Linked DNA regions of Lepisosteus oculatus. The protein of the gene in region 2 purifies or fractionates together with the protein of the main gene of each other region. This does not show direct contact. Links are inferred from orthologs where the notes say so. Each region holds a gene or a part of one and is shown on either strand. Other genes may lie near its edges. The genes, in order: tent5c and fndc3a.

Region 1 (15,025 bases), on a different chromosome or scaffold from region 2:
CATCACATTTGTCAAGGCTATATAAAAGCGGACAGTGAGAGCATTAAGTCTTTCGGTAATTAATAGCACATTGAGTAGAAGAGCTCATCCACCATATCAAATTTGAGAACATGGCTGCGTTGGCCTACTACCCTGTATGGTGAAGTGGAAGTAAAACCCAGAACGGGGGGGGACTTTGCTGGAGCTCTTGAGTCATTCAATTCTAGAGGTCCACTGGCTTTATCACCGATTACCTGGATCAATTCCCATTACACTCTTCTCTGTTCAAGACCAAACACGTCCCACAGTTCTTCCGTGCAGGACATACCTTTAGGTCTTGGCAATGGACTGTAGCTGGTTGCTCTGCTCTGGCCCGATTCCACAGCAGTAACATGGGGATGAGGATTGTACAGGATTACAGCCAGCTAATAAGATTACAGTCTCGGGGACTGCAATCTTATTAACCCATTTCAGTTTTAACAGCATCCTGTAACTGACATTCTAGATTTTTAGCCCTAATGACCAAAAAGATGTTCATGCAGACATTCTTCCATTTGTAGCCTCTACAAGCTCAGACCCTTCCCATTCGTACTTGTTTTTGGGATCTGCTTATAGACATTAAAAGCCATCTACTAGGTACTTGCTCACTCTTGGAAGTCTGAATCTTTTAATTATTTTAATTTGTTCCTTGCATCATTTTTTGCTAACTGTCCTTCCTTAGTATTGTCTGCAACCATAAGTCAACATTAGTGATACTAGGAAGAGCAAGGCTTCTTATATTTCTATGCATTAGATTACTAACCCAGCTTGAATATTTTCCCTGATCTGTACCATCTTTCCCTCTCTCAATCTCTGAAAGACTACCATAACGCAAATTCAAAAAGACCTAAAAACCAAATTTGAGCAAAACACCATGGTGGTGATATTTAATGGAGAAGTGCAGAGTGCTACACGCAGGTAGCAGAAAAAAAGATTGCAAAGAAAGCCTGAATCCACATTTAACTGACAAACACCCAAGCTCTTTATCTTCACACCTGTGGGGAAGCAAACATGGATATTGACAAGGGTTGAAATGGAAAGCAATCAATTTTTACCTTGTAACCATCACATCATTTATGCATTCCTCCTGTACAACATACTGTACATGTAATTCAATTCCACAAAATCTGAAAACAAAAGGAGCATTATAGTAAAATAGTTCAGCCCCAACCTCTGTCTATAACAATAAGCCAATAAAGAAGATTAGGGGTTCAACAGTTTATTTTTTTCCATCTTTACACATTGTCAAAGGAAAACAGTGAGGTAAAAGTGCAAAAATTACAGGATTATACATAGTCATGATGCTGGTGATAACATTTTGGAATTCAAATGATGTTTTATTACCCCCTCTTCACACTTTCACTATGACCAAAATTCTTGCAAAGAGTACAAGCGTTGAACGACTCCTTCCCAGACGAGACTATACTGAAGTCTATCAAGTACAAACCCAGGACAAGCCAAGGAGTAACACTACCTGGAAAGTCAAGGAGAAGCAAATCTTATGAATTTAACTGAATGCACCTTCAACAAGAACAAATGCCAAAAGGCAAAAAGCTAAAAAAAAATCCCCACCCACTTCTATAAACTGTCTGTCACATCCTGTTATGTGAAAAATGAATTGTAAATTTAGGTCAATAAAAAAAAAAGACCTCTGCAATACTTTGTAATTGTCATTTGTTTAAAGGACAAAAGGAGTAAATTCCAAACACCCCCCCCCCCACTCTAAAAATGATCTACTCAAGTACATGAAATGTTTAAGGTGCACCGTTTGTGCTTCAAGTGAAATCCAATGACTCCCAGCAAAATCGACCCCACACAACTCCCACCACAGCCTGGAACCCAGTATACCCCACCTCATGGAAGAAGCAGATAAGGCCACGACACCGAGCCATGACACAGGCAGGGGAGAAGGCCAGCAGCAGATGCTGCAGGAGGAGAAAGAAATCCCAAAAAAAACTCAATTCACAAATACTTTATTAGTCACAGAAGATGAAGAGGGTCACGGCCTACACATGACCACAATAATCCCCCCCCCACCCCAAGACCCCCCAGTCCCATATTAAAACATTCAATAGCTTATCTGAACAATGTTTAAAGACTTTAAATTACTTAATTGCATCTATTGCGGGATTGAAAAAGTGTCCATTATGGCACAGTTTTGGAGACCCATGAAAGAGTACCGCATCCACTATTCTCTATAGTATGGCTTGAATTGCACAGTATGATTTAAACTGGGATACAAATTTGCATTTAAAGATAGTGGTCAAACAGCACTTCCGATAAGGATGCACACTGCAGAAGATCTGACCTTTTTGTTCTTGTCTGCTTCTAGTAAAATGCCGAGAATGTTTCAGTGGACTGGTCTTTAAAAAAATCAGTTTTTATTTCTGGAAAGTAACGAGGGGGAAAATAAGCATGCTGCTGGAATGGTTATACCTTCAACACGCTCGGAGAAACCGGGGGGTTGTAAAATAGTTGCTGCGACACAAGTCTCCTCACTCAGCTAGTAAGTCCCAGCCATAACCAGGAAACAGTCAACAGACCAAAAGCAAAGAAAAACACCGCTTTAAATAACACTTAATTCACAAATTCCTTAACAAGGACCATGACTTCCCCCAAGCAGCTATGACTGTGTAGCTATATAAAAAAAAAATCCAGCCTACTCATACGAAAACTGCATTACCACTCATACACATTCTGAAATTAACTTACACCCCCCAAAGACAAAAAAAAAAGGGAAAAAGAGCTAGGCACTTCTGTACTTTTTTTTTTACGAATTCATAGAATATGCCATTTGGTCCCCTTTCTTATATCCCAACATAACATGCAAAAAGAAAAAAGGTTCACTCCAATAAAGTTCGCTCCCCACCACAGCCCCCCCAGAGCCTCACAAACATCGCTGCAATGCAAGTACAATACGCCCTGACCCAGAACCATACCCCACTGCTGCAGGAGACTACAGTGACCCTGCAACCAGCTATCTTTTTCATAAAGGGCAGGTCAACAACCCTATGTTTAGGGCAGATAAGAGGGAATACAGTTATCTCTCCATGGCACATCTGAGCATAATACAAGCCACTGAAGTTCAGAGCTAAGTGCCAAGAGGCCATGGAAGAAAAGGGGAAAAAAACTGAACAAAAAGTTACGTAAGCAAACCGCCGGACGTCTGTGAAGCGAGCCGAGTTCCTTCTCCAAGGCAGGAGCTGGTGATGAAGCACGCCTGTACAGAAAGGCGGCTGGGGCTCCCGACTGCTCAAAGAGAAGCCTGCCCTCAGCCAAAGCACAGGCAGAGCTTGCTTCTGTGCAGGAGGCACAGGCCCTTGTTGCTCCAGAAGTCATTTCCCTCACCTTCTTGGCCAAATTGCAGAATGGATCAGAGGCAAACCCTGAAAATGTGGTTTCTACACCGGCAAGACATTTGTCAGTGTTAACACGATATATAAGGTGGCCACAAAGAGTGCCCTGACTGCACACTTCCAGAGATAATTATAGCCTGCTGACACGTTCATTGGCTGCTGCCTGCAGACCTGGATCCCATTTTAGTACAAAGCAGCATGAAGGCACACCAGCTATTCAATACCCAAGCAGACCCTTTTAAGGCAAGGGAAGAACGTCAGGGGCCGAGAAAGATCCAATTACCAGCACTCTGCAAGGACACGATATTCCAGGTTCCAAACCGCAGCACAGTGACCCAAACCCACAACCACCAGCTCTCCTGCAGGGCTGACTACCTGCAGCAAGCCATCCGTCAGATGTATCAATACGCTTCCTCTCTCCCAGAAAGACACAGCACGCACACCTCGCAAGGCGGTAAGCAAAACTTAAAAAGGAAAAAATTTACAAAACCACAAAACAGCACCCCGAAAAGAGAACAGGATAGCAGGCGACAGCCAGAGCACCTCTTCTCTTCCCGAGGGCCGACGGGCAGATTTTTGGAACGTTCCACTGTAACGGAAAGAAGGAAAAGTGGAGGGAAAAAACCCTTTAAGTTGAAGCTTAAATTGAGCTTCCCCCCTGCCCCCACCAACACCAATCTGCTAAGCACTGCCCCTGCCCCGTGCACCCGCACCTCTGCAAGGCCGGAGGGGGCGCCCGTCGAGCGGAGGAAGACGGGACCAGTCAAGTCGCTCTTCTTGCTAAAGCAGTTTGCTTATGACCCGGGAGGACAGGAGGCACCTTCAGTTCCACAGTTACATCTCACAAGAACACAACCTCACTCACACAAACAAGGCATTAAATACTTCTTGTGCAATAGCTGCATATTTATGTGCATTAACCCCTCTTTTTTTTGGTTTCCAATTTTATGTTTTTTTTTTTTGGTTTTTAAGCCTTTCCAGTACACAGGAATAATCCCAATTTAACCCCCCTTTTTTTTTTTTAAGAAAGGCTCATTACATTTTTCAACAGATCACATACATTTTATACTTTTGGGGGGAAAAAAAGGCACTCTTTTTAGACAAGAAATTGTCCTCGCATCTGGACAGAACTGTTGCCACTCGCATTAAGGCAATGTCACGGTCCTAGACTTGAACAGGATTTATTGAGAAACAAAAGTACGACAAACGCCACGATGGGGCCCAAGAGTCTGGAACCATCTCTGCAGCAAAGAAGGAAAGAGAGAGAGAGAGAAGGAGCATTGTGTCCCGTGTTGCATCTGCAGTTCACAACCGATGAGGGGAGCTTTTATTTTATTCCTGGTCCCCTCATCTCAAATCAGTTCTGCTCCTTCAGTTGCACGGCAGCCAGGTGGGATAAGACTGGCTGCAGGAAGCAACATAGTAGTTGCTGAAGTTCAGGTCCCGGACGTAGGGGGCTGGCTGGTAGTAGCAGGTGACACTGGACGCATCCGGGATGGCATTCTGCTCGGCCAGCACCCGGAAGGCCAGGAGGGAGATCAAGTTCAGGGTCTGCCGCCGCTCGTGGCCCATCAGGCACACGGTGCTCTCGTTCACCACCCTGCGCAGGATCATGAGGTAGTCGTACTTGCTCTTCTCCTCGCCCACGAAGTGGCTCTGGAGGTAGGACTCCAGCTTCCGCTGCTGCTCCACGATGTCGGAGAAGTCGATGAAGAAGCGGGAGCACATGTAGCGCTCCAGGGCCTTGAACCTCTCCTCGTCGGTGGGCCTGAAGTCCCGGACGAGCAGGTTGCAGTACTTCAGCAGCCCGCCCCCCCGGATCTCCTCGGGGTTCTTGGTGGCGATCAGTTTGTTCTTCAGGTGCTCCAGGGCCACCGCGAAGTCGCCGTACACGCTCTCCCCGATGACCGTGGGGTGGAAGTGCTTGGACATGGGGTTCTCGGCGCAGTCGTAGTAGAAGAGCAGGGAGTCCAGGACGATCTGGAAGGAGTCCACGCTGAACTCGAACTGCCGGCGGATCGAGTCGACGAACTTCAGCTCCACGTTCCTGCCGTTGTTGTTGGACAGCGAGATCAAGCTCCAGCGGTCCAGGTCGGTGCACACCTTCACCAGCTTCTGCACGTAGGCCTCCTTGAGGGTGGTGGGGGTGATCTTCTCTTTGTTCACGCCCTCGGGCAGGAAGTCCAGCAGCGTGCCCAGAACCACCTCCTTGACGAGCTGGAACTCGGCCTCGCTGGGCAGGTCCACCCTGAAGATGACGTCCAGGTCCTTGTAGAGCCAGCCGTTGTCCTGGACCAGCACGTGGCTGGCGGTGGAGCCGTTCAAGCGAACGTCCCGGACGCGGATCCCCTTCTCCTCCAGGCGGCTCCGCACCATCTGGACGATGTCCTTGAGCCGCACCTCCAGGGTGGGGAAGTTGCCCCTGCCGTGGACAGGCACGGCCTCGGTCATGACTTCGTCCAGGAGGCGCACCTGCTCCCAGGTGAGCACGCTGGAGCACCTGCTCTGGTTGCTCCCGGCTTCGGCCATGCTCAGCTGTGTCTAAATCTCAACTGCCGGGAGGGGAGGAAAAAAAAAAGGATTAATGTATGACTACAGCAGCAGAAGAGAAATCCATTACGACATTAAAGAGAGCGCATCCCGCACGCTTAACGGTTGTATACCGACGCAGCAACACCGAGCGAATTGAATCATTGTGACTTCACGATGACTCAACAATATGACCTTTACCCAAAGCAAACAGCCCGTTCATTTGTGTCCTGCCCCCTTTGCCTCGCATGCAGCACACAAGGCAGGTTTTCCAGCTCTGCCCCTGGGCGACTTGCCCGACAGCCGGGCAGCTCACGGTTTGCGGCTCCAGAAGACAAACTTGACAAGAGTCGCGCATCGCCGTCCCACACAGCAGCCAAGTCGGGATCATTCAACCAACCCTGCTGTCGTCCTATACAACTCGGGGCATTTATCTCCTATTAACTACCGACCTTTTAAAACAGCTGGAATCGCCGCGGGAGGAGGAGGGGGGGGAAGACTCGAGTTGCTTTAAATTTTAATTTAGCGATCCGCAACTTCAGATAACTTGACTAAACCACATCCACGGCTCAAAGACGCGCTCGGAGAGCAGGAAAAAGGACGATCTAGTCCGATTTAATGACCACGCATTAAGAAACTCACTTCTATTTTTGTAACCGGAATAAAAGAGACGTGGGGTGCTCGGCATTTTTTAAAAGCCGACCGCACTGCGTGATGTCACTCGACATTTTAATTCTAGGTTTCGCATAACTTCAATTTTGTTTAGAGATCGGGCGAAGCAAAATTACGTGCGTGCGACCGATCAGGCTGGATATTGAGTTCCAGGAGTGTGCATAGTTTTTTTTTCCGGATTTAAAAATAATTAACGTGCGTCTATTACGAGGCGTCTGCAGAAACTTCAGCCAACGCAGATCACACGTGTAGTACAGCTACCACATACGGAAACCGCTAGGTCTCACAAAGTTAGCAAAACACTCTATACCGCCAAAAAACCCAACCCAAACACACGGTTTTAAAGCAAAAGATTTTAACAGACAAGAAGCAAAAGCTCTTTCCCCTCCGTCCTAAAAGTAAGCTCTCAAGTTTAAACACCCACCACCAGATGTGCACTTTAAAAAAAAACTCTTACCCCGGACGTGCACTTTTATTAAACACCTTGAACAAACCAAGGCATCCAAACCAGCGGGATACAGAAGTATACTTACTGCGCAGACAGGTTCCGATCAACACTTGTAAATGACACGCAGGAGAGAAACAGCTCTAATACAGACACTCAAGCCACATCCACAACCTGCAACCCCACTGCTGCGCTGTGAGCACCGGGCCCACGGAGCGCTCTCTTATACGCCGAATCACTACCGCCGGGAAGGACGCGTATTCCTCCACTGCGGGGCACTATTTTGTTACTCGTACCTGTATCAATGGAGAGCAAACAACAAGAAAACAACCTCGGGGGATATGTACGCCCTATTTCAACCACGGCGAAAACACGACGTTGGGGGGAGGGGGGAGAAGACGACTTCACCGGGCGGGGGTTTATAACATTTTTTCATCCCCGACCGCAGGACAGTTATCTGGAGAGGCATCACTCCGCGGCGCAGCGTCCCCCGATTGGTCGCCACGCTTTGTGCGTTGCCAGGCGACGGGAAGCGCCCGCTGGATTCAAACGCGAAGCCGGTGCGCTCAGGGCAGGCCGCTCAGTCTGGGGGCTGAGGGCGACGGCGATGGACGATTATTAGTTGGGAGCGTGTGTTGCGCGTAGTACGCTGTTTCAAAACATCCAATTATATTAAACAATTACAGTATACGAAGGACAGCCAAAAACCTGCTCAATTAGCCGCAATTAGACATCTATATATACGCTCCTGTGCCTGATGGTTACACTGTAACTCCGTGATACACTAAACTACTTCACATCCATCTTGCACTACTTTCCCCTTGATTTATTGTGTGGTACGACACGACCAGTGCCGGCGCAACCCATACCTGGGCCCGGGTGCAAGTACAGTAAATACAAAAGCCCCCCTTCTCCCTCCACCAGTGCACACAGAGCAAGAGAGCAGGGTTCAAACGGGCCACCACATTGAACTTGATACTTAGTAACTAGTTATTTAAAAAGTGAATATAGCTTATAGCTTGACTCGTCGCAGCGAACTCGTCGATGATATCGCTGAAATCCACCTGCCGTGCGGCGCGGTTCTCTACAGACAGCAACGCCGGAGCTGACAGTCTGTCCTGAGACATGCTGGACCTGAGGTAAGGTTTGATCAGTTTCAGTTTGCTAATTCAGCCCTGGCGACAGCAACTGGAATGGTTCAAAACACTTGACATGCTATCACTGTGTCTGGAAACGTAATGGTCTTTTCTGTTCTTTGCGCTTCTCGCTGCCCGATTTACTGTACATTTCTGGCTCGCTTTCACGTTGCACACAGACGAACTCCAGTTTAGCTAGATGTAAGCTCGTCTGTTGCTCAGTCTTGACAACATTCGCAACAGCGGAGCTTTGATTAATGTTTTGAGGTGACGTTTCCGATCAGGTTTCACAAAATCTAGGCTAAACGGTAAGCCTATCCGACCCTTAGTCCTGCTGCTTCCCCTGCTGATGGGAAGCTTGTAAAAGCAAGTGGAATTAACTCTTAAGGTTTCAATGCGGGGAAATTAAACATCAAAATAAGGGCCGAACCTTTCGGTTATAAGATAACTCGAGCAGACGGTTCCTGGCTGCTTTAGTTACACCAGAAAGTCAGTGTTTTGTGGGATAAAAAGGGCTTGAGATACTGACTGGACCCTATACACCGTAGGTTATACACCGGTTATACCGAATCTGTAACATAGCCTACTGTTATTGCGTTGATCACTAATGTGTTTATGATGAGATGTGTTTTTGATGTGATGAATTTTCCATATGTTCTCAACTACAGTTTGCAAAGCTCCGCCCTCTCGGTTCTTGTTCTGAGTTATTAATTTATGATTTATCTACTTTTACTGGGATTTCAAAGCTTTACAGTATGTGTAAGTGTATCGAAGCATCTGGTAAATTAAACTGTAAATGTCCCAATAATTTAAGTTGACACGAATTGAAAAATAAAAACAAGTTCATAGAAGACAGCTAGCCGTACCAGCGCCCAGCTATGCAGTTTAAAAGCATGATCCTCTTTGAACTGAAATATACCGCTCGAGAAAAGAGGCTTCAAGGAAACCATAGAAAAACATCTGTATTTCTGAACATCTATCCATCCAGCCATTATCAGTAAAGGACTATGACAATGCATAGAAACACGAAAACTTCACCAACAAGACACCGCGCTCTTGCAGTTGCGAGTAGATCTCAGAACCGAATCCAGCAGTTTCCAGAAAGATCCTGGGAAAGTGACTGCAGTAAAGAGGGCTTTCTCTGGACACCCTCTATGATTAGTGCAAAGAAGAGCTTCCTGCTCTTAGTTCTGAATGCACTTGCTTGCAACTTCTATTTCTGACCTTGGGACCATCTTTCATTGCCAAATCATGAGTAGGTGAATCGCTGGGGCTGTGTCAGTGTCTTTCAGGATTTCAAATACGCCTCTCCCCACTTCGTCCTAATCAGCTCTGATTATGTTGAAGGGGTCCTGTTTCTTGAAGTGTTTTTGTTGACTTTTTCTTTCAAAAAGATCCAGGATACTGATGTCATTTTTTAAAAGAGATTACCAGTATTACAAACCATATTCTAAGGTCTCACTAGCTTTGCTTCCATTGATTTAAATTCAACACTTTTCACTCCGTTCTGCATTCTACCGGCTTTATTGATCACATTACTCCTGTCCTGGAGTCCCTGCAATGGCTTCCTGTCAAATTCTGTGTGGATTTCAAAATCCTCATGCTCACCTATAAGGCTCTGCATGGCTTGGCACCTCAGTACCTGTCTGAACTATTATCACCCTACTCCCCACCTCACAGCCTTCTCTCTTCTAATTCTGCTCTCCTCTCTGTCCCCCAAGCCCGTCTACATTGTATGGGTGACAGGGCCTTCTCCTTCTGCGCCCCCAAGCTCTGGAACTCTCTCCCCAAGGATATCAGAGAGTCACCTTCTCTAAACTCCTTCAAATCCAGACTCAAAACCTTCTTCTTCAGAAGAGCCTTTACTGAACTGGTTCAAGTTTTTACCCCTCTTCTCCTACTATACTTAATACCACCATCCACGGCCTCCTCTGTGTATCGTAATTGTGTTTTATCTTGTGTGTTCTTTTTTTTGTTCTTGTTGTCATTCTGTAAAGTGCTTTGACTAGCCACCTTTACAGGTGCTATATAAAATAATGTTTATTTTTATTGCTATTCTCTATTCTTTCAAAGAGGAAAATGAAGAGTCATTTTTTTTTGCTGATGACACATTATAAACTCAGTCCTTTTCACAGATACATCCACTTGACATGTTTATAATGCAGATTCTTACTGCCTGCCTATAATATTTTGCAGTCATCTAAACATCACCTGAAAACATCACGGGTCTAGTAAGTATGCCAAAGGCAAGCTCATTGATTTTAGTCCAAGAAAAGCAGCAATCTTCTAGAACAAGCAGGAAGTGTGCATGTCCTGACACTCCACCAATTGCTATGCTGCTGTCTCCTCTTATGGAAGTGCAAAGGTCTCTCCTCCGGCTCTTCTCTGAGTGCCAGCTGAGTGAAAGAAGAGTCTTGCCTTGGCAGAAACTCTCTCATAGCTGGTGAGTCATTCTGGACTTTTCTCTGCCCTGTTTTATTGCTATCAGTCTTAACCAACAGATCAAATGATCAAAAGACTTCCAGGCCTAAATATGGTGAGATTTCTTGAGACTTAAATGAGTAGCCCCGCTTTTCAATCTGCTTCAGTTCTAGGACTCTGCTTTTTAGTTTGACACAATGGAAGAAGAGTTTTCTCTTTGCTTCATCGGTGCTTATTGCTTACTCAACAAATAAGTTTATTTGTAGCAAAGTCACCCAAATGTGTCATAGATCTAACAGTGGGCCAAAACATTGATAACAATGGGGTGTCGTCTTCATTGAGAGACAGAAACGGACAACATAATGCAATTTAAGAGCAGCTTAAAAACAGTGCTGCAGCTTGTTTTTTGTAACTTGCTTCTCGGAAAGAGTTCCAAGAGTTCAAGCCCAGAATATAAACAGGTTTAAAAATTGAATGTAATCTTTATTGCTTTATTTAACTACAGTAGATATGTCTATTGAGGATAAATTCCTATTTACAATAATGACCCAGTAAAGGTATACAGCAGGATGATATTTGCTGGAACAAACTGGAGCCAACTACATGTACAGGGGTACAAAGCAATATTCCACCCTACATCTGAGTACTCAGCCTTCGAGGTGTGACTCAGTACCCCTAACTAATGCTCCACCTGCAATAATAGGATATACAGTGGGATTCATTATATATTCTAAATTGTCCTCATTCCTCATTTCAAGGCTTATTACCTTATTTTCAGCTTTTATGACTCAGATGGATTTGTAGCAATAATCACGATTTCCTAAACAGAAGTGAGGAAAAGTGTGGCTTTTTAAAAAAAAAACTGCGGTTTGTGCAGTAAAAGGGTATCCGCCATAGACAGAATGCTTCAGTCAACAGTAAGAAACTGAGAGAAAACAGAATTCCTCTGGTCCTAAGTCACCACCCGTCATAAGAAACATACTGAAAAAAATGTAAACTTCTACAGAAAGACCCCTGCACTGAATTTTAAAACAAGAACAAGAATTTTATGTACAGTAGATGTGAACACAGACATAAAAGAATACTTTGACAGCAGTAGAATTTTTAAAAGCCACTTTTCCAAGCAACACATCAACCTTTGCAGAGAAATCAGGGGCCTTAACTCACCAGTTTCCATTCGCTAACCCTTTATCTGCATTTCTAAAGGAGTAGTTTACGGAATTTCCATTGAAAGAAGTGGAGAAAGCTAAAGATGATTAACGGGCCATTTAGTGGAACATCTACTGAGCATTCAAATTAATACCACAACATTTCCAGTCGCTCGTCACTTCAGTCAAACCTTGGAGGTAATCACCCTGCTGAAGAGATCCCTGTCTGTGGAGTAAGTCAGTGTTATGGAACAAATGCTTCATGCAAACAAAAAGGAGCGAAAATTGATCTTCACTCCAGAGACTTTGGAACCTCTTGGAATAAATGTTCTGTTCTGACATCATCATAACGTGATGCACAGATGTTGTAAAACCAGGAAGTTAACTGCAATGTGGTTTCCTATCGGCTGAAGAGGACTTTTGTCCAAAATGTCCTGAAACAAGACACTTTTTTTATTTAGTCATTTGAGCACCACAATTGTTCACCCTACTTTAATTTGATGAATACAGATATATTTGATGTCTTTATGCTTCTCTACATTGGGAAATTTAACAAATCTATTTTTTTGCTACTGTATGTACTTAAAGTAGTAGCATGCATGTAAGAGGCCAAATGGAAAGGTGATATTTATCCTTTAGTTCTCGAAATCTTGATGGAAACTGGTGTTTTAGAAGTTCTTTGGCAGCACTCAGTCAGCATGGACTCTTCAGGTCTGGGTGATATCCAGTGCAGCTGTGGGGGACATTACAGTACATCCCATCTAACTGCTGGGAAACCATTTAAACTCTTCCATGACACAAAACAAAATTATTTAGAAAGCAGCTGAGCCTTAGAACAGCGGTTTCTTCAGAAATCACACTTTCACAAGAATTATTATTTCTAAAGAAAGGAAGACAACAAAAAATCACTTTCAGAAATAAAACTCTGCTGAATGTGGTTTTCCCCTTCAAAAGATAATAGAGAAAATTAAGTTTCTGTTACGCAAACTCTTCTCTACTCGGTTCCTCATAAGCTTCAGTACAGTCTCACTTTCTGATTTGGGAGTGCTCAGTACTGAAGCACTTCGGGGACGATGGAAGTTCTCAGCTTCTTGACCTCAGTCATGCCACCTTGTCTCTCCTGGCGCAGAGGGACATACAGGACACAATGTCTGTGCATCCCACATGAGATGAGTCAACAGAAAATGAAAAACTGCAACTGTGAAGGGTGGGAAATGTTTCAGATTGATTTTGTTTTAAGCCTGATTGTGGTGTAGCCTCAAGCAACCAATGTGCAGTTATCATCCATGAGCACAGGCTGACGACGTACCGCGTTTGGGTCCCAGTTAAGAAGAATTCTGATAAAGATCTTGCTGCTAAAAGCACAGGAACTTTAGTTTTCAGGCATGGCTATCAGCAGTGGGGAGGCGTGACAACCACTGGACATCACAAAACCGCCACAAACAACGGTATCAGGTAGCAGAGGTGCCATTGGATGTCAAGTTTAGGTAGTTTGGTCAAATTCTAGTTACTGTGAGATGACATGACCGATATAATGACATAAAGTATGGTAATCAATATTTTGATAGATTGATGTTGACACCCACCCCTGTGCAGTGTAGCAGCGATATGAGTGCTGGTCATCTGCTTTGTTACTAGTTTCTCTCATGCTCATACTTGAGTTTTGAGCCTAAAAGCCTAAAAGACACTTTATTCTTACATCCGATAAAGCCCGTTCTTATCATCCATTCAGCATATCAAAATTCTCCAAATTAACTCACGCAGGAGCAGACTGGAGACCTATTTCTGCATCAAAATACACCCTTTGCTTTTTTCAAATCCTGGGTGCTGTCTGTCTTCTCCATTAAGACTGTCAGTCTCCTGTCTCTGAGCACCATTGAACCACAGCCGATATTCTTCTTTAAAATCTAGACTCAGGTTACATTTTACACAGATGGCAAGGCAGCCTGTCTAAATATTTATTTTATTCTGAATTATATTTCAGTTATTCTACATGATCCAATCTTACTTGAAAGTGTAGAATTACTTAGATACAGATGCCCATTAAGAAGAGCTTGACCTCTGTAACCCTCCTGGTGGTTTCATTGACCTTTACTTGCTGCTGCTGGCAAAAAGTCAAATACTGGCAAAAGTCAAAAAGCACAAAAGCACTGATCTGCTGTAGTGGTATTGTGTATAAAAAGCAGTCCCTCTTATTCAGGTGGTGAGCTGCGTCAGCATGTGTAGTCTGCAAAGGAAAAAGTAATAGGTTTATTCTCTCTTCTCTTTTCAGCATGGAATAAACCTTTGACTTGTTCCTTTGCAGCCTATGCATGCTGACGCACCCACCCACCTGAACTAACTCAAACAAATTTAAGATCATTTCATAAGGTTCTGCTGGTTTATCTTCTGTCTCTTTAAGTAGCAGCCCTCAGATATTTATTTCGAGATTTGTGTTTGTGCTTCTAGGCTGGTGTTCTACACTAGAATTGTCCAGCGAACAGCAGCACAGTGAAAATGAACATTCCTGCCCTGCCAGCCTGTTAGAATAATAATAACGAATAAACGAATGACTAATGAATATTAGTCAAATTAATCAACCAAAGTAGATGTACAGTAAAAGTTGAATCAGATCGGTTTGACTGCTTATGTTGATAAAACCAAATGAAACCTAAGGGAAAAATGAAATGTCATGATTTATTGGTCTGCTTCTTGAACATGTACAATTCCATTTCCTGTACTGGCAGTTTTGTGGAACAATTAACTGCGAAGTCAAAGGGCTATATCAAACAGACCTTTTAAAATGATATTAATGCTGCTTTTTTTAAACGATTTCAGTTGGCTGATATTTATGATTCTACCATGAAGTAGTCCGGGGGTCACAGACCATGAGACACCTCAGAGGACATGTGAGTCAAGCCCAGCTGTGCCGAATATTCAACTGGAGAGACAGCGACTTAGGAGAAGGGATGTGCTGGTTTATAGGGCACTTTGACCAGAGATAAAAGGAATCAGATTAATTAAGTCTATTGCTCCTTCTCTACTGTAAATGCTTCTTTTTCATGCCTATATGAGCTGTTTGTTTGCTTTATGTTTCTGTAGCGGAGCCAGTTCGGACACGGTGACGTCATCGCCCTCCCTGCGCGCGGCAGGGACCTCAGCCGTCCGAGCTGGGGGGGTCTCCTTCAGCTCACTCGGCTGGCTCCCTGTTGCGTTACGCCGGAGACCTGGGTTCGCGCCCAGGTGTTGTGGCGAGGGCACGAGCCCGTGCAGAACCGAGACGGTCACATTAGAGATGTAAAACAAGAAGTACGAAGTAAT
Region 2 (15,777 bases):
TCTGTATAACAGCCAATACACTAAACAATGACACAGTGAACTTCCAGTCATTACCTACATCTCTCTTTTTTTATTTTTTTCCCCCCAACTACCTATTCTCCCTCATTCTACCTATTCTGCCTCAAGTAGTCTATATGCTATGAGCAAGAATAAATATAATCAGTTGTATAGCACATAACTCCAGAGTTTTAACATTGCAAAAGTTTTTTTTTTTGCAGACTCCTGATAGTAAGAATTCTCCCTTCTTCCACTCCCTTTAAAAAAAAATAAAAAATAAGCACCCCCAAAACAATGTGACACCCTGTTTCCCCCAGTACGTCTGCCAAAAGCTAACAGGAGTATCCATCAGCCTTCTGCATGAGGAGCTTTGTCCTCAAGCCAAAGCTGCAATACAAATGCAAATGTCAGCTGGCAACTCTGCGCCTTCACACACTCCGATACAGAGCCACTGGATTATTACAAAAGGATGATGCATTAAGCCAAGGTAGGCCTGCATTCTTGCCTTCTCATTTTTGTGCTAAGTGTTTTAGCCATACTTGCATCACTATGCTAAACCTTCCCCACCACTGCAGAGCTCCACTTATGAGAATGACAATGTCAAGTACACGGAAGAAAAAATGAAGCTTACCATTTATCTCTTTATCACCGTGCTTAAATTATGCTGATGTGTTGTCAGAGAGGAAAAGCTTATCCACCTGATAATGATCACTGAAACCCAGAAGGTATCATAGATGAAGCCTCTGGCAGGGTTCTTCAAATGCGGAGTTTTGTTTTTCTGTTGTGGCAGAAAAGACAGAAAATGATGGCAGTGCGCTGTGGCATGCTGATCAAGCCCTGATGCTGAAACTGTAGAGAAAAAATTAGAGCTTACAGAGGCAAACAGTCCAGTGGCAATCTCTGCCAATGGAAAACCTGGGGAAAACCTGGGGAAACCCAGCCAGTGGTGCCCAGCTTTTTTTGGTGAAAATAGTAAAAATGACAGCAGGTTTGCACCCAGCCATCAAAGATTTGCCGATTTCAAATCGGCGGCAAATGAAACACACAAAGACATAGACGCAATGCAAACTGAATGCCCTGTTGACAAAGCACGACACGACACGCATTTCAAAATCGCAAGGGTGTCGCTGACTTGGAAAAGGAAGCAACACAAAGCAAGAATGTGGATTCAACACTTTACATAGTTAACGCAGAGAAAGGTTTACAAAGCCAAATTGGGCACAGTCAATTGAAGCAACGTTAAAATTACACAATACAGAACACGACCACATTCAAAACAGGAGTGTGATATGGGCTATCTCTGGACAAGGAAGTCTTTGTAGGGGAGGGTGTTACAGAGTATTGCAAGGACGTTTTAGCTTCAAAGGTTTGACAGGTTAGTCCTGAAGAGAGGCGATAACAATAAGGAAATGCTATTTAAAATTCAAAACAATGCCTAATTATGGATATACACCATCTTAGCAATACGGACAATAACTACATTGTCCACTTTCTGCTTGTGTTCATTTGTGATTGATCAAAACACTAAATTATTAATTCTGTACCTTCAGTATCTCCCATGCCCTGTTCTACTTGACTTATTAGTGTCCTTTCTGATATGTTGGATAATATGCTGACAATGCTTCCATACACAGCCTGCTCTAACACCACATAAGAAGAAGCCCTTAGAGGCAGTTCCAGGCTTCATTCTAATTAATTTTTGGACAAATACGTTTTTGCATCGGGCATGGAAAAGTTGAAACGAGTAGAAAAACGTCAGTGTTTTTGAACCCCTGAGGATTATTCAAGAGGTTGTCCCACCACATATACCAATGCTCCTGAATAACAGACTATAGTGTCTCCAAACATTTCTCAAAATCTCTTTAACGCATCAGAGGCTCAAGGGGTTGGGAGAGATTGATAAATAGGTCCAAGCTAAATACTGCAACTTTTGGATTTAAAATTGAACATTTTTGGTAAAGGAAGCCTTACTGTCCTGTCACTTTATTTTCCATTCCAAGTGTTCGCCCTCTCTTTACGTGATCCCACAAACTTTATTTTTTCTCTTTAACCCAGTGAGAGCTGACGCAGATCGTCCTGTCATCCTGAGTCTCACATTGTTTTGTTTTTTACAATTATTTCTTACAGATGTTTAGCCACTGATTTTTTTTTTTAAGTTTAAAATATCTAGTCCTACATATTTTACTTTTGCATCACAAAATGACCTGGTTTTATCAACAGGAAACTAAGGTGCTCATTAACCTGTAACTGGAGTTCCCCAAGAGTTACAGGACAAAGACAGTTGTGATTATCCAGTATTCTTGTGATCAGATTTGGTTAAAACAGGGCAGGTTGAAGTCTTACCTCCTAATAGTAAAGTTAATAGTAAATATTCCCAAAGGAATGAAATGATAAATCCGGCAGACTTCTTAAAATCAAACTGTGAAACACGAACCAGAAGACACAAACAGAAATGATGTGGAAGCACATTTCTAACCGAGAACAGGAGGTACTTTTTCACAAAGGTTGTGGGAGTATGGAATAGCCCAGCCATGTTATTGAGGCTGATACACTAGATTCTTCTCAGGAAGGGCTAGATGAGGTTCTCAAATTAATGAGCTACTAACAACCAAACAGCCTCCTCCTGTTTGTAAATATTATGCATTTACTGGGTAAAATGTTTTCTTCCTAAAAAAACACATGAAATATCAATGTCAAAACAGCATGAAATAACACATAGCAACACAGAAGAGTACAGGATATTAACATGACTCTTAGAGCATCATAACCACAGGATAGGCTACAGACATTTTTGACAGACAATAAAAAAACAGTATTAGTTGTAAGCAAATTTCTAAGCTAGGAGGAATACGAATGTATATCCAGTTTCCTTCTATCTAAGCATCTTAAGTTACTAAATCCCATTACCCACAGGGTTTAAATGTTTATGATTATTTGCAGATCACGTATAAATGAAAAAATATATCCTGTCTCAGTGTCCCAAGAGAACTACTGTACTGGGTCATGTTGTTACCCCAATACAGGACATGGAAGGTGTAGAGTTACACTAGGTTTTCACACGGTATACTAAATACTATATTCTCCTGCTCAGGGGACCTGCACTACAGTTCTCCAGGCCTATAAAGTCCTTCTGTTTTCTATGTCAATGGTTACTAATACTGACTCTGAAGGCTCACACAACCGCTGGTTTTTATCCTCTCGGTTACACAGTTCAACCCCATATGGTTTAATGAAAGGATAAATTCAAACTGTTAGAATGTTTTCAGCTCTTAAACACGTTGAAAGTGAGATTTTAACTTTTAACTGGATTTTATGAATAAAGTAAATTCCCACACTACTGAGTAGAAAAAAAACTGAAAATGTTCCACCTAAGCAACTCATTCGTTCTATTTAGGCTTCAATGAGGTAATTAAAGTCAGCTGACCCCAAAACTAGAAGGTTTATGAGCCTCCAGGACCGAGACTGGGAACACCTATCTGAAGACAGAAGTGACAGTGGACCCTCACAATCAAGAAATACCTTGATGAGATTCTTTAAGGGTGGCATAGTGGCACAGTGGTGGGCATTGCTGCTTCACAGTACTGGAGCCCTGGGCTCAATTTTTGGAGAATTATCTATGTGGAATTTGTATTTATGTTCTCCCTGCATTTGCATGAGTTTCCTTTGGGTGTTCTGGTTTCCTCAAAAGGCTTACGGGCAGGCTACTTGGCTCCTGGAAAATGTGGCCCCCTTGTGAGTGAGTGCGTGCAACATCAGGATGTGAGTAAGCTAATCTAATACAGGGTCATGGGGAGCTGCAGCCTAACCTGGCAAGAAATGGGCACACGGCAGGATATACCCTGGATGGGACACCAGTCCTGAGAAAACCCAGTTGCAAACACACACACACCATTACCAATTTTCCCAGAAACCACTTATCCTACCAGTATGTCTTTAGACTTTGGAAGGAAAACAGAGCACCCAGAGGAAACCAAACATGGGGAGAACATACAAACTCCACGCAGGTAACTCTCCAAGAATTGAACCCAGGGTGCCAGCGCTGCGAGGCAGCAATGCTCCCCACTGCACGGCTCATTTTGTTTCTTAAAAGTAGGTATAGATCAAAAAGGTCTTCATTTTGAGTCGAGGTCCTGCATGCAAAAAAAAAAAACTTCCTGAAATTAACCAGATTTGATCATGGTTCCAAGTTATCAAATTATCTGTTCTACAGCACCCACCTTCTCACACTTCCCATCTCGCAAGGGTATGCAGGTTAGTGTGGACTTGTGTACCTGTTTGCTCATATATGTCCATGGCAGCATGCCTGTTTGTGCCTATTTGCACATGTGTGTGTGTGCGTGTGGGTGCACGCCTTGCAAATGATGTCCCATCCAAGGTCTCAGCTTGCATCCTTGCTTCTGGGTTAGGCTCCATGGTGTCACAACAGTTCCCAGGAATAAGTAACAGTCCTGATATTAACTGTGAGCACATACACAAAGCAATCAGACCACAAAAGCAGAGGTTAATTCAGCAACGGCACCAGTAAAAGACAAAGGTAGTGCTCAACATGCACTCTTCGTGGAAGGAGGGAACAGGAACAGTGGGGTAGCCCAAAAAAAGTAGTACAAAACATCAGATACTTGCACCATCTCAAAGCTTTGTTAAAAATATTGCATTCCATTCCGGTCCCTGTGTTACATAACAGATAATGAAGTGCTCCAACTAGTTAAAGAAATGGTGAGCAGGTCAGGCTGATTCCTGGGTGTATGGAACAAGCCATCGAGCCATATCATTCTATCCATATGCTACAAGCAAGCACAAAAGCCATTTTATTTTGTTTCTGCACTCTTAATAGAACCGGTCAAAGTACAAGCACAAATGGACATTTCTTCCACAGCTGATTGACGGTTCCAGTCAAAGTCCAGGAGGTAGGAAACCTTATCCAGGCCTCAGACATACACTTCTGTCCCTGCTGTTTCTGGAAGGGGGGAGTCTTGCAGCACACACACACCTTTTTACATCCCTCTCAATGTCTCAACTGACCACCAGCTTGTTGCAAAAAAAAAAAACACAGCTTAGTTACGGTCAACAGTCATAAAGATTACAGCCTTCTGCCATTCCTACAACTGCAAGCACATAAAACAACTGCAGCATTGCTGTGCATTTTCTAAAAAAGGAGTCCTTACCCTTGTTCTGTGGACCAGCTCTCAGTTCTACAGCAGAGCCTTAACCTGCCCCAACCCCCAACAATAGGTTTAATTTGGAGTCTTTAATTAAGCTACAAAACCTCTTTTTAGCAATGTGGTTCATAGATAACCTGAGATCTACAGCTTTTGAGCAAGAAAAGAACATGAAAAAGTTCCAATCAAGCCACTTGTTAGTTGAATTAATGGCTTCAGTCAAAATGTGAAACCATGAACTCAAACAACTTTTCAATTATTATTAGTAGATACTTGGTACTTGTTTGTCTTCCTATAATATGATATATTTTATCATCTACATTAGTAGATGGTTTTGCAATATATTGAAAACGCTTTTATTAAACTGACTCATTTGTGAATTCCGCCTTGAACAAAAAGGTACTTTCCTAGGATTTTACTATAAATCTAAGCTTTCGAGCACTTAAAAGAGGAAAACAATACCTATGCAGTACCCTGAAATTCCGGCCAGTTGCGACTAGAACAACTCTAGTATGATTTTGTGGGATTTTAGAAAAACTTCATTTTCTCCCTAAGTCAGTTCCTCAGAAACTGCTGTGTATTGTGACGTAAACACAGGGCCTGTTTGCAAAGCCAGAGCTGCTCTAGCGCTCAGCACGCAGACGGAACATTAGTCATGTCGCAGCGAAAAGGAAACCACCGATCGCAAGCAAACAGTCCTGGTGCAGTTTCTTACGTTTGCAGATGAAAGAGCTGTCTTAGAACAGTTTGTTGTGACGAAGACGTTACTCACCAGAACTGGCAGCTCGTCGGAAGCTGTAATTTACCCAAAGCGGCACAGACCAGCTGCTGCTGCTGTAGAGATAGGAATCCCCCTCCTCAGCTAGAGCGCAGCTGCGGCCGAGTCAGAAGACGCTCCGATACTCGGGCAGCGTAACGTGTCCGTTTTCACCTGTTTATCTACACACAGTACGCGCCTACTCTAAGCTAAGGGTGCAGATCATATTTCCTCCTGTCCCGGTGCGCATCCAAGATCTCTGGGATCCTTATCACACTGGAAATGCGCCATCTTTATGAGGAATGTACACAAACCCAGCGCATGCGCGTTTTTGGAGGGGGTCGAGCTATTTTCCCGTAAAGTCTGCACATCTATTGGAAAAAAGTTCAAGGTTCCTTATGATCACGGTTTCCAGAAACTAACTTCTGACCACACGCACACATAACAGTACAGAATGCTAGTGCCGCCCCCCAGAGTTCATTTATGTACAAGGTACCAGAAGAAAAACTATTTTACTCAAATAGAAAGCACCAGATGGGTGCTTTCTATGGCTAAATTATTCCCGAATCAGAAGCGCCTTTCTCACAATGGCACTGTCCGACAGGATGCAGCTTTTGTGAAACTGTCCTACAGCCAGTCCTACGTTATAATAATGACTATGATGACTGGCTAAATTGTGTGACGTCTCCACATTGCTGTCTTTCTTAGAACAAGAGCACATCACCTGCCAACAGATCAGCAAATTAGATGTATTATTTGATAACAAATGTTCATCAGCAGTTTAAATCTATTTAAATAGGTTCAATGTAATGTCTGTATAGTCTGCTTCTATAAAATTAATTTTTCTTTCCAACTTTGTGAATTTGTGAAGGTAATTACATTTTTAAAAGTTTTTTCTTTTATTATTCTTGTATAATGTGTCTATTTTTAGATCCTGTAAGAACATCTGTTATAAGAAATATAATGTTGTATATGTGTATTTTGCATATGTTGTACTATATTGTCATTTGTTTTGAACTATTTGACATCATTAGGCCATTAGCCCTGGAACCATTTACACTCAATTTAGTTCCTTTAATACCATTTTTTAACAAATGGTTAAAAATGGTATTTAACCATTTTTAACCTTCACACCTGAAGAAGGCTCCACGGCCGAAACGTTGTGTTTTCTTTCTTCTCTTTTCAGCATGGAATAAACCTATTACTTGTTCCTTTGCAGCCTACGCATACTGACACAGCTACCCACCTGAATTATTTTAACAAATGCTCTTTTTTGAAGTTTATACAAATTCTATTACATTTATGTGCCATTTTTGTACCTATATCTCTCATTATCCTGGTACACACTGTAGGCAAACCATTAAGAAAGTCCACAGTCAAACGTCTAGTCCCTGTCAGTCACTCTAAGTCACAGTCTGGCTTGACTAGACTTTCATGTGTTGTAGGTTCAAAAATTGGATCTTATACAATTTTTTTTTGTATTATGGAATTATTACTATTATTGTACAACACAAAACAATATAGATAAAATTCATTTAATGTATTTAAGTTTAATGGAGACCGATGCATAGTTTTGCATGCAGTACTGTAGTAAAAGTATAAACCATAAATATAGAATGGGAAAAGTAGCACTAGAACACGCTAGTAACAAAAAGTTATGTTACCATGTACTGTACACATCGTAGACCAGGTGGGGAAGCAATTAAAAAGGTCAACAAAATGCTAGGATATATAGTTAAAAGCATAGAATTTGAGTCAATGGATATTGTATAACACTCTAGTAAGGCCAGGTTTAGAATATTGTGCACAATCTTGGTGACCTGCTCACGTCATTATAGAAAAGAAGAGTCACAAAATACTCCCCAGGGAATATCCCACACTGACAGACTAAAGAAACTGAACTTTTTTACTCTTTAAAAACATCTCCTTTTTAGTGGTAAAATACCATTGAACCCTGTGGATTTGTTCATTTTGAGTACCTTCCTGTACCTGAAAACAAATTCCCTCTAATATGCTGATACTTTGTAATACAGTTTTTTTTCTTTCTGCTATCTGAGGTATATTGTTAACTTCTTACTTTGTAAACACCTGATTGAAATACTCTTTTCTTTTTAATTGTCTAGAAGTTTACTTTTTTTGTCCATACTACATTTTACTTGATACTTGACTGTTCTTTTGCCATTGTAGTATCTATATAACATTTTATTTATTTTAACCTCCATTGCAATATTCCTTTCAATTTCTCTTTTGGCCTTTTTAATATCCATTTTTACCTGTGCTTGCAATTCATTTTTCTCTTTTTAACTGGATCCTGCTGTTTTTCATTTTTTTTTATAAAGCATTGTTTTTCCCCTTATTATTTCAAATTGATTTGCTGAACCAGTTAGGATACTGTTTTTTAGCTTTTGCTTTGCATGTTATGGGGATAAATTTGTTATGTGTTTGGGTAGAAGCTGTTGGCATCCACTGATTTCATATCTGTTCCATCCCTCATCCCTGTTCCATCTTTGTCAGGATTTCTGAAAGGGGTGAGTTGTTGGACCCCTATGTGAAGCCATGAGGAATGTAGTATGAGCAAAAGTAAATTCTATATTCGAAATCCAAGTCATTAGGCAAGAGTGAAGTCAAAAGTAGGAGAACCAGGTCGGGTAGTAAAAGGAGTCAGGTCGAGAATAGAAGCGCGCACAAGAGAAAGCTGTGGAAGACTTCTCAATATTGAGCGTAGGTAAGCCGGAGAAGAGTGTTTAAATATTGAAGAGAGAGAGACATGGTTGGATAATTAGTTCCTGGATGAGCGTGTGTGGAATTTACCACGCGTGGGAATGCCAGGGAGCTTAAGGGAGAATGAACGAGTCGTGACAATCTTCTTTCTTTCTTTCTTTTTTTAGGCTCAACCTGTGCAGTTTCAAAATATACTTCAAAGCATCTCATTTCCTTAATGGTTTCTTAATTGTAACCTCCTGTTGCCTCTCTGTTTTGATTGTTGGGGTCTTCAACGAAGTGTCCCAGACCATACAACTTTAGGCCAGACAATACTATGATGTCAATCACTGACAATATGATGTCAATCACTGACACTCCACCTACACTGCTTTGGTACCAGTTATGTCTGAGCAACCTTGTGTTTGAAGATATCTGCATTGTTCCACATGTAAGCATTTGAAATCCTTTTGAATCAGTAGCTGTTCACCTCATCAGGCACCAAAGTCTCAATTCTAGACTGCCATCAGATGCAAAAGAGAGCGAGAGATTTTCTTCTCTGAGACCTAAAGTCTCTTTGAGTTGTTGCTCAAATACCAGGGCCAGGTGAGTATCTTGCCAAGGTCTACTCCAGTAAGACCACTCTGGAGAAGAAACAACACCACTCTCAATCAAGACATTGGGTTCCATTGCCAAAGCCATGTTTGCTGTATGTGAAGATGATAAGGACTATAACTAGTTAGTAGCATTCCAACAATAAGCTTGAACTTCCCACCAGAAAAGTGACACTTCACGACCCAGTAGCTTCCATTGTCAAGGTCTAGTCCACTGTGACACATCTCTCTCTTTGACTTTACTGTCATCAGCCATATAATCCTGCAGCAGGTGTGAGCCTACAGTAAGTCAGTACCTGGATGGGAGACCTCCTGGGAAAAACTAAGGTTGCTTCTGGAAGAGGTGTTAGTGGGGCCAGCAGGGAGCGCTCACCCTGCGGTCTATGTTGGTCCTAATGCCCCAGTATAGTGACAGGGACACTATACTGCAAAAAGACGCCGTGTTTCAGATGAGATATAAAACCGAGGTATTGACTCTCCGATGTTCACTGACAAAAATATGACCTACCTTTTTTGCTAAAATACAGGAATGACAAATCATTCATAAGCAGAATATAATACCTCTGGAGAAGTCAAAATATTTTAAATTCCAATACTTCACTAAGTTTAAAAAAAACAAGAACAGTACTATACATTCCTATGGATCACACTGCAAAGCCTGTTCTCTACCATTAGTATGAAATCCTTTGGTTGATTGGACCATTTTGTTTCAAAACTACATGGAGAAAATGGCCTTTTAGCTATGCATTCTGCATTTTCAATTTTATGCAGTTTGAAGCTCATTCAGAACTAATCTTCAGAGCTTGCATCTCACACATAATAAAAAAAATGTATTTTATATAGCACCTTTAAAGGTGTCTTCTCAATACAGAATGACAACAACTACAAAAAATACACAAGATATGCACTATGAAAATACACAATGAGAGGAGACAGTGTAAATAACAGAATCAGTAAAGGCCTTTCAAAATAAGAACATTTTGATTGTGGATTTGAAAAAGTTTAGGGAAGGTCACTCACTGATATCTCTTTAGGAATAGAGGTGCAGAGCTTTGGAGCATAACAGGAGAAGGCCTTGTCACCCATAGAGTGTAGAAGGGCTTGGGGGACAGACAGGAGACCAGAATTAGAAGAGCAAAGGTTGCAAGGTAGGGGGAGTAGGACTATAGTAGCTCTAACAGGTACCGAGGTGCCAAGCCATGCAGAGCCTTATAAGTGAGCATGAGAATTTTGAAATTGACACGGAACCTGACAGGAAGCCAGTGCAAAGACTCCAGGATAGGAGTAATGTGATCACTTGCACTAGACCTGGTCAGGATTCTGATTGACGAATTTTTGACATATTGGAGTTTGTTCAATGTGGATTTAGTAACCCCGAAAAAGAGCATTATACTGCAGTAGTAAATTTTGGGAGAAGAGAAATGTGTTGATCGGCTTTCATCAACAGTTGGTGATAACATAGGATGTAGTCTGGCGATATTTCTGAGGTGAAATAATTATGTTTTGATAATATGTTGCACATGTGGGTTGAATGTCAAGCCTGAATTAAATATCACCCCCAAGTTTTTCAATTTAGACAGAAGTTCAAGTACAGTGCCATTCACTGATAGGGTTACAACATTGACTTTATAAAGTTGATGGGGAGTGTCAATAAGCATGACTTCAGTTTTTGACACAGTTTAGATGAAGGAAGTTTAAAGTCATCCATGTTTTTATGTCAGAGATGCGATTAGAGAGAATAGAGATGGTCACATCAATGTCAGGTTTGGTATGGATGTACATTTGAGTATCATCAGCATAGAAGTGATAGTTGAGGCCATGTGATCTTAAAAGTAAGATAAAAGTGATCAATAAGTAAGATAGTGTGGGTAACAGTGTTTAAAGCAGCACTTAGATCAAGAAGAATGAGGATAGAAAAAGAATCAGAGTAATAAGCTATTAAAAGATCGCTAGTGACTTTGACCAGGGCAGTTTCTGTACTGTAAAGTTCTTGGAAACCAGACTGGAGGAGTTCAAAGAGGTTGTTTGCAATGAGACGGTTATTTAACTGAATTTTAACAGCATGTTCTAGAATATTTGCAAGAAATGGTAAGTTGAAGATGGGGTGAAAATTGCTTAGATTTTCCTGAGCCATGTTCGGCATTAATGACACAGGGGTAATGGCATCAGTTTTGAGGACCATTGGTACAACACCCGTGCTCAAGGATTCATTTATTATATTGAGGACAATGGGACAGACAGAGGTGGAACAGGATTGAAATAAAGCGGTGGGAATGGGATCTAATAGGCAGGTGGTGGATTTCATATGCGAGTCAAGAAGAGAGAAGTTTGGAGAGAAGGGAAGCAGTAAAGTTAGGCAAGCAGGGAGGAGGTGTGGATGTGATATGCGTTGTGGAGAAAATGTGATGCCGGATGTTTTCGATCTTGGTGCTAAAGAAATCTAAAAATGTGTGGAAGGAATATGTTTTTAAGCGTAATGGTATGTGCTAGAAGCATACAATCAAACATCCATCCATACATCAATTTGCTAGTTGTTTTTTTTTTAATACAGGGTCACAGGGGAGCTGGTGCCTATTCCAGCAGGCAACAGGCACAAGGCAGGATACACCAGTCCCAGGACTGGTCATAGACAGATGCAAACACACACCAGGATTGATGTTCCCAGGAGCCAACTAAACTACCAGTATGTTTTTGGACTGTGGGAGGAAACTGGAACACCCAGAGAAAATTCCCTTTGGGATCAATAAAGTCTTATCTTATCTTATCTTAAAACCCACTTGAACAAGGGGAGAACATACAAACTCGACACAGATAGCACCCTAGTGAGACTGAAATGCTAACCACTACGCTATCGTGCCACCCACAATCAAACATATAAAATATATATGTGAAGGGAGAGAGCTTTCAAATTTTATTTCTGGATAATCTGTGCTGGAAGGACAGCCTGTCTGTTCTTTGTAATTAATGGGCCTGAGAGCTGTGAGCAGAGAGAAAGGGTTTCTGCGTCACAGAAAAGCAGCATTAATTGTACCTGTATTTTCTCTAAGGAACTCTGACTCATTAACACGAACAGTGGCGCTGTAGAACTTGAATGAGTCACACATGACTAATGGGTAAATGAAAAGGAATCAGGGGAAAGGGGGTGTTTAATTTTCCTGCCAACAGCTGTTATTTCTTGCCTTTTCCAATCAAGACTGACAGTATCATATTACTATTTTATATAGAATGGATGACCTTAAACTCTTTAAAGCAGGCAGTGCTTTTGAATATTGGACTTGAAGGGACACAGTCCAGCAGGTTTTATAATCCTCTTTAAATCTTCAAAATGCAATGAGCTGGGAAAGGTCCAGTTTAGTCAATTATAGCATAATTGTTGGAAATCTGTATTTAAGAACAGAGCTGCAACGAAAACCTGCAGACACAGTGGCATTCTTGAGCCAGGACTGGAGTCCTCTAATGTAATGATACATTATCTTTTGGAAATTACAAATACCAAAAAAGGAAATGCAGAGCCTGAAGAGGTTACTTTAAAAAAAAAACATAGGTGTTTATGTAGGCATATCATTGTCATCTTTTAGATACTTTAGGGAAGCAATTTAAGAGGTGTGCAGATAGCATGGAATAAACCTTTTACTTGTTCTTTTGCAGCCTACGCATGCCGATGCAGCTAACTACTTGAACTACACATTTGGATAGATAGCTAAAAGCATAGAATTTAAATCATGCAAAGCTAAAATTACACATTGAAATAAAATGGCATGATGCACTCCTGTGAGCTCAGACAATTTTTGTTACCCTGATATAATCACTACTGCTCTGGAATGTCCTTCACTGACAGCTGAAAGAACCTGTTTAATCTTGACAAAGAAGACTAAGAGGGGACTTGATTCATGTATTCATGAATAATTTAAATTAAATCAGTTGAAATCTCTCCAGAGATCTCTTTGACATTCATTTTTTCCAGTACTGATGGAACCAAAGTAAGGAGCTGAAGTCATCATTCCAAAAAATAATTTAATTCAAAACCACCAGTCATATCTATATGTTCTTGGAAAACAATATGAGCTCCTTAGTCCATCTTAACTCTACTGATGGGGCAAAGTGATTCACCAGGATGCCTACTGTGCCAAGGGCGAGAGAGACTGGAGCACATCCTCAGCTGTTGCCCAAAAGCCCCTGGAGAAGGCCGCTATTGATGGCACCACAACCAGGTGCTTAAGGCCTTAGTAGACACTATAAGCAGAGGCATCACATCAGTAAACATCACCACACAGCAATTCAGACCATTGCTTTCATCAGAATCGGTCAGCAGCCACAACCACAGCCCAGAGAATCAGCGGGTCTCCTGGCAAGACTTTGGCAGCTGAAGGTTGACCTAGGGAGGAAGCTTATGTTCCTTGGCTGTAACAACCACACTTAGGCAAGACACAGTATTTCTGTCCAAGGCATCTAAGCAGGTGGTCATGCTAGAGCTTATGGTTCCCTGGGAAGACTGGATGGAGGAGACCTATGAAAGGAAGAGAGCCAAGTATGAAGATCTGGTTAAACAGTGCCATGGGAAGAGGTGGAGAGCATGGTGCGAGCCCATCAAGGGTTGCTGCAGAGGATTTGCCGGTCAATACCTCTGTAGAGCTTACAGCCTTTTGGATATAACATAGGTGAGCAAGAGGAAGGCCATCAAAACCACCACAGAGGCTGCAGAAAGAGCCTCAAGATGACCATGGATCAAGAGGAGTGATCTGTGGGTGACGATACCATCTGGAAATAAGCAGTACTTGATCAACCTTGACTGGGTCACCTAGGTGAAGATGTCTGATGTTGAAAGATCTAAAACATCAAGTGACCCTCGGTTACATCACTGATGATGTGTCTAGGTGCATCAGAAGATTTATTTCTTCAACTAAAAGTTGTATTACTTTGCACAGATCTTTAATTCCATCAGCTGCTACTCCAGCCTGCTGCTTATTTCAACCAGTCTCCTACCATTTTAACCCATGATCCCTTTCTCACTGAATTCAGACTACTAGATGCAAACAACTTTTGACCTTGATTTAAATTCACATATTTGCAAAAAGTACTTGCTGCTACCTGCTGCTTTCAGAAATATTAGCCAAAATAGCATTCATGTTTTTCCATTATGTTGCAAGCTGTTTCAGCAGTGCCCTGCCAACTCTTTCTTATTGCTGCTGTTTGAATGTTAAACCTGCTGATTGAAATCAGTTATAGCGTAGCATTACTAACTCCAGCTAGATTTGCTTGAGTGACAATGCTGCAAACCCTGACCAACATTTTAAAAGCCTTACTGCTGCCCCAGATTTGATTGCTGGCGATTCAGATGCTGAACGTCTTCAATAAACCTGTACGCTCTGAAATCCAGGGTATCAGATTAGGCAGATTGTGCCTTTTTGTATTGAAATTCATACAGTATATGGTTATTTATATATTGTTCTGAATATTGAAACCTGAAGAGGTTTTGTTTCCATTTCTGCAGTGCTTCCTTGCACTAAACCACTGTGATTACAAAAATATTACAAAAATTACAAAATTTACTTGAATAACAAAAATAACTTGAACAAAATGCCCAGCCATGAAGGATCTTGCCACTCAATCAACTATGTATGCTGTTCATCACGGCCATTCCTTCAGCTTCCTAAAATATTCTTAAAATCTGTCCTAATCCTGTTTCTTTGTCTGCTACTCATATATCTCCACTTTAATAATACATATAGGTCCAACTTCTAAATTTACAACATATTAGCTCTTACTCCTGGGCCTGGCCCCTGTTATTGGTACAGATGTCCTGTCGAGACTGCAGGCACCTGCTCTTCAATCCTATATGTTCTGGCTGGTGTCCGTTTGGATCAGTGCATTTCACACCCATTACCTGTGTGTCTCAATTATGTCTTGATTGCATTTATAATAATAATAAACTTTATTTTATATAGTGCCTTTAAAGGTGGCATCTCAAAGCCCTTTACAGAATGACAACAGAAACAACAACAATTAAAAATAAACAATAAAAAATACACAAGATAAACACGATGAGAATATGCAGAGGAGACAGTAGATGGTGGTACTACATACAGTAGGAACAGAGGGGTAAAGAATGGAACGAGTAAAGTAAAGGCTCTTCTAAAGAAGAACATTTTGAGTCTGGATTTGAAGAAGTTTAGAGAAGGTGACTCTCTGATATCCTTGAGGAGAGAGTTCCAGAGCTTTGGGGCATAACAGGAGAAGGTCCTGTCATCCACAGAGTGTAGAATGTAAATGGGCTTGGGGGACAGTTAGGAGACCAGAATTAGATGAGCGAAGGTTGTGAGATGGGGAGTAGGGTGATAATAGTTCAGACAGGTACTGAGGTGCCAAGCCATGCAGAGCCTTATAGGTGAGCATGAGGATTTTGATGTTGATACGAAACTTGACAGGAAGCCAGTGCAAGGATTCCAGGATAGGAGAAATGTGATCACTTGCAGTAGACCTGGTCAGGATTCTGGCTGCCGAATTTTGGACATACTAGAGTTTGTTCAATGTGGATTTAGATACCCCAGTG

Evidence for each region.
Region 1: the proteins of fndc3a (region 2) and tent5c purify together in Homo sapiens (affinity purification with western blotting; 3 studies listed by BioGRID, with this or other methods). This does not show direct contact. The link is inferred for Lepisosteus oculatus from reciprocal best matches to the Homo sapiens genes FNDC3A and TENT5C.

What each region holds. Positions count from the first base shown.
Region 1 is NC_090710.1:32,321,676-32,336,700, forward strand, and holds tent5c (terminal nucleotidyltransferase 5C), read right to left. Parts: upstream 7,336-15,025; 5' UTR 7,317-7,335; exon of another isoform or gene 7,252-7,316; intron 7,216-7,251; exon of another isoform or gene 7,109-7,215; intron 5,927-7,108; 5' UTR 5,904-5,926; coding exon 4,746-5,903; 3' UTR 4,540-4,745; downstream 1-4,539. UniProt on the Homo sapiens protein: Catalyzes the transfer of one adenosine molecule from an ATP to an mRNA poly(A) tail bearing a 3'-OH terminal group and enhances mRNA stability and gene expression.
Region 2 is NC_090700.1:20,295,687-20,311,463, forward strand, and holds the start of fndc3a (fibronectin type-III domain-containing protein 3A), read right to left. Parts: upstream 6,509-15,777; 5' UTR 5,929-6,508; intron 776-5,928; exon of another isoform or gene 629-775; intron 1-628. UniProt on the Homo sapiens protein: Mediates spermatid-Sertoli adhesion during spermatogenesis.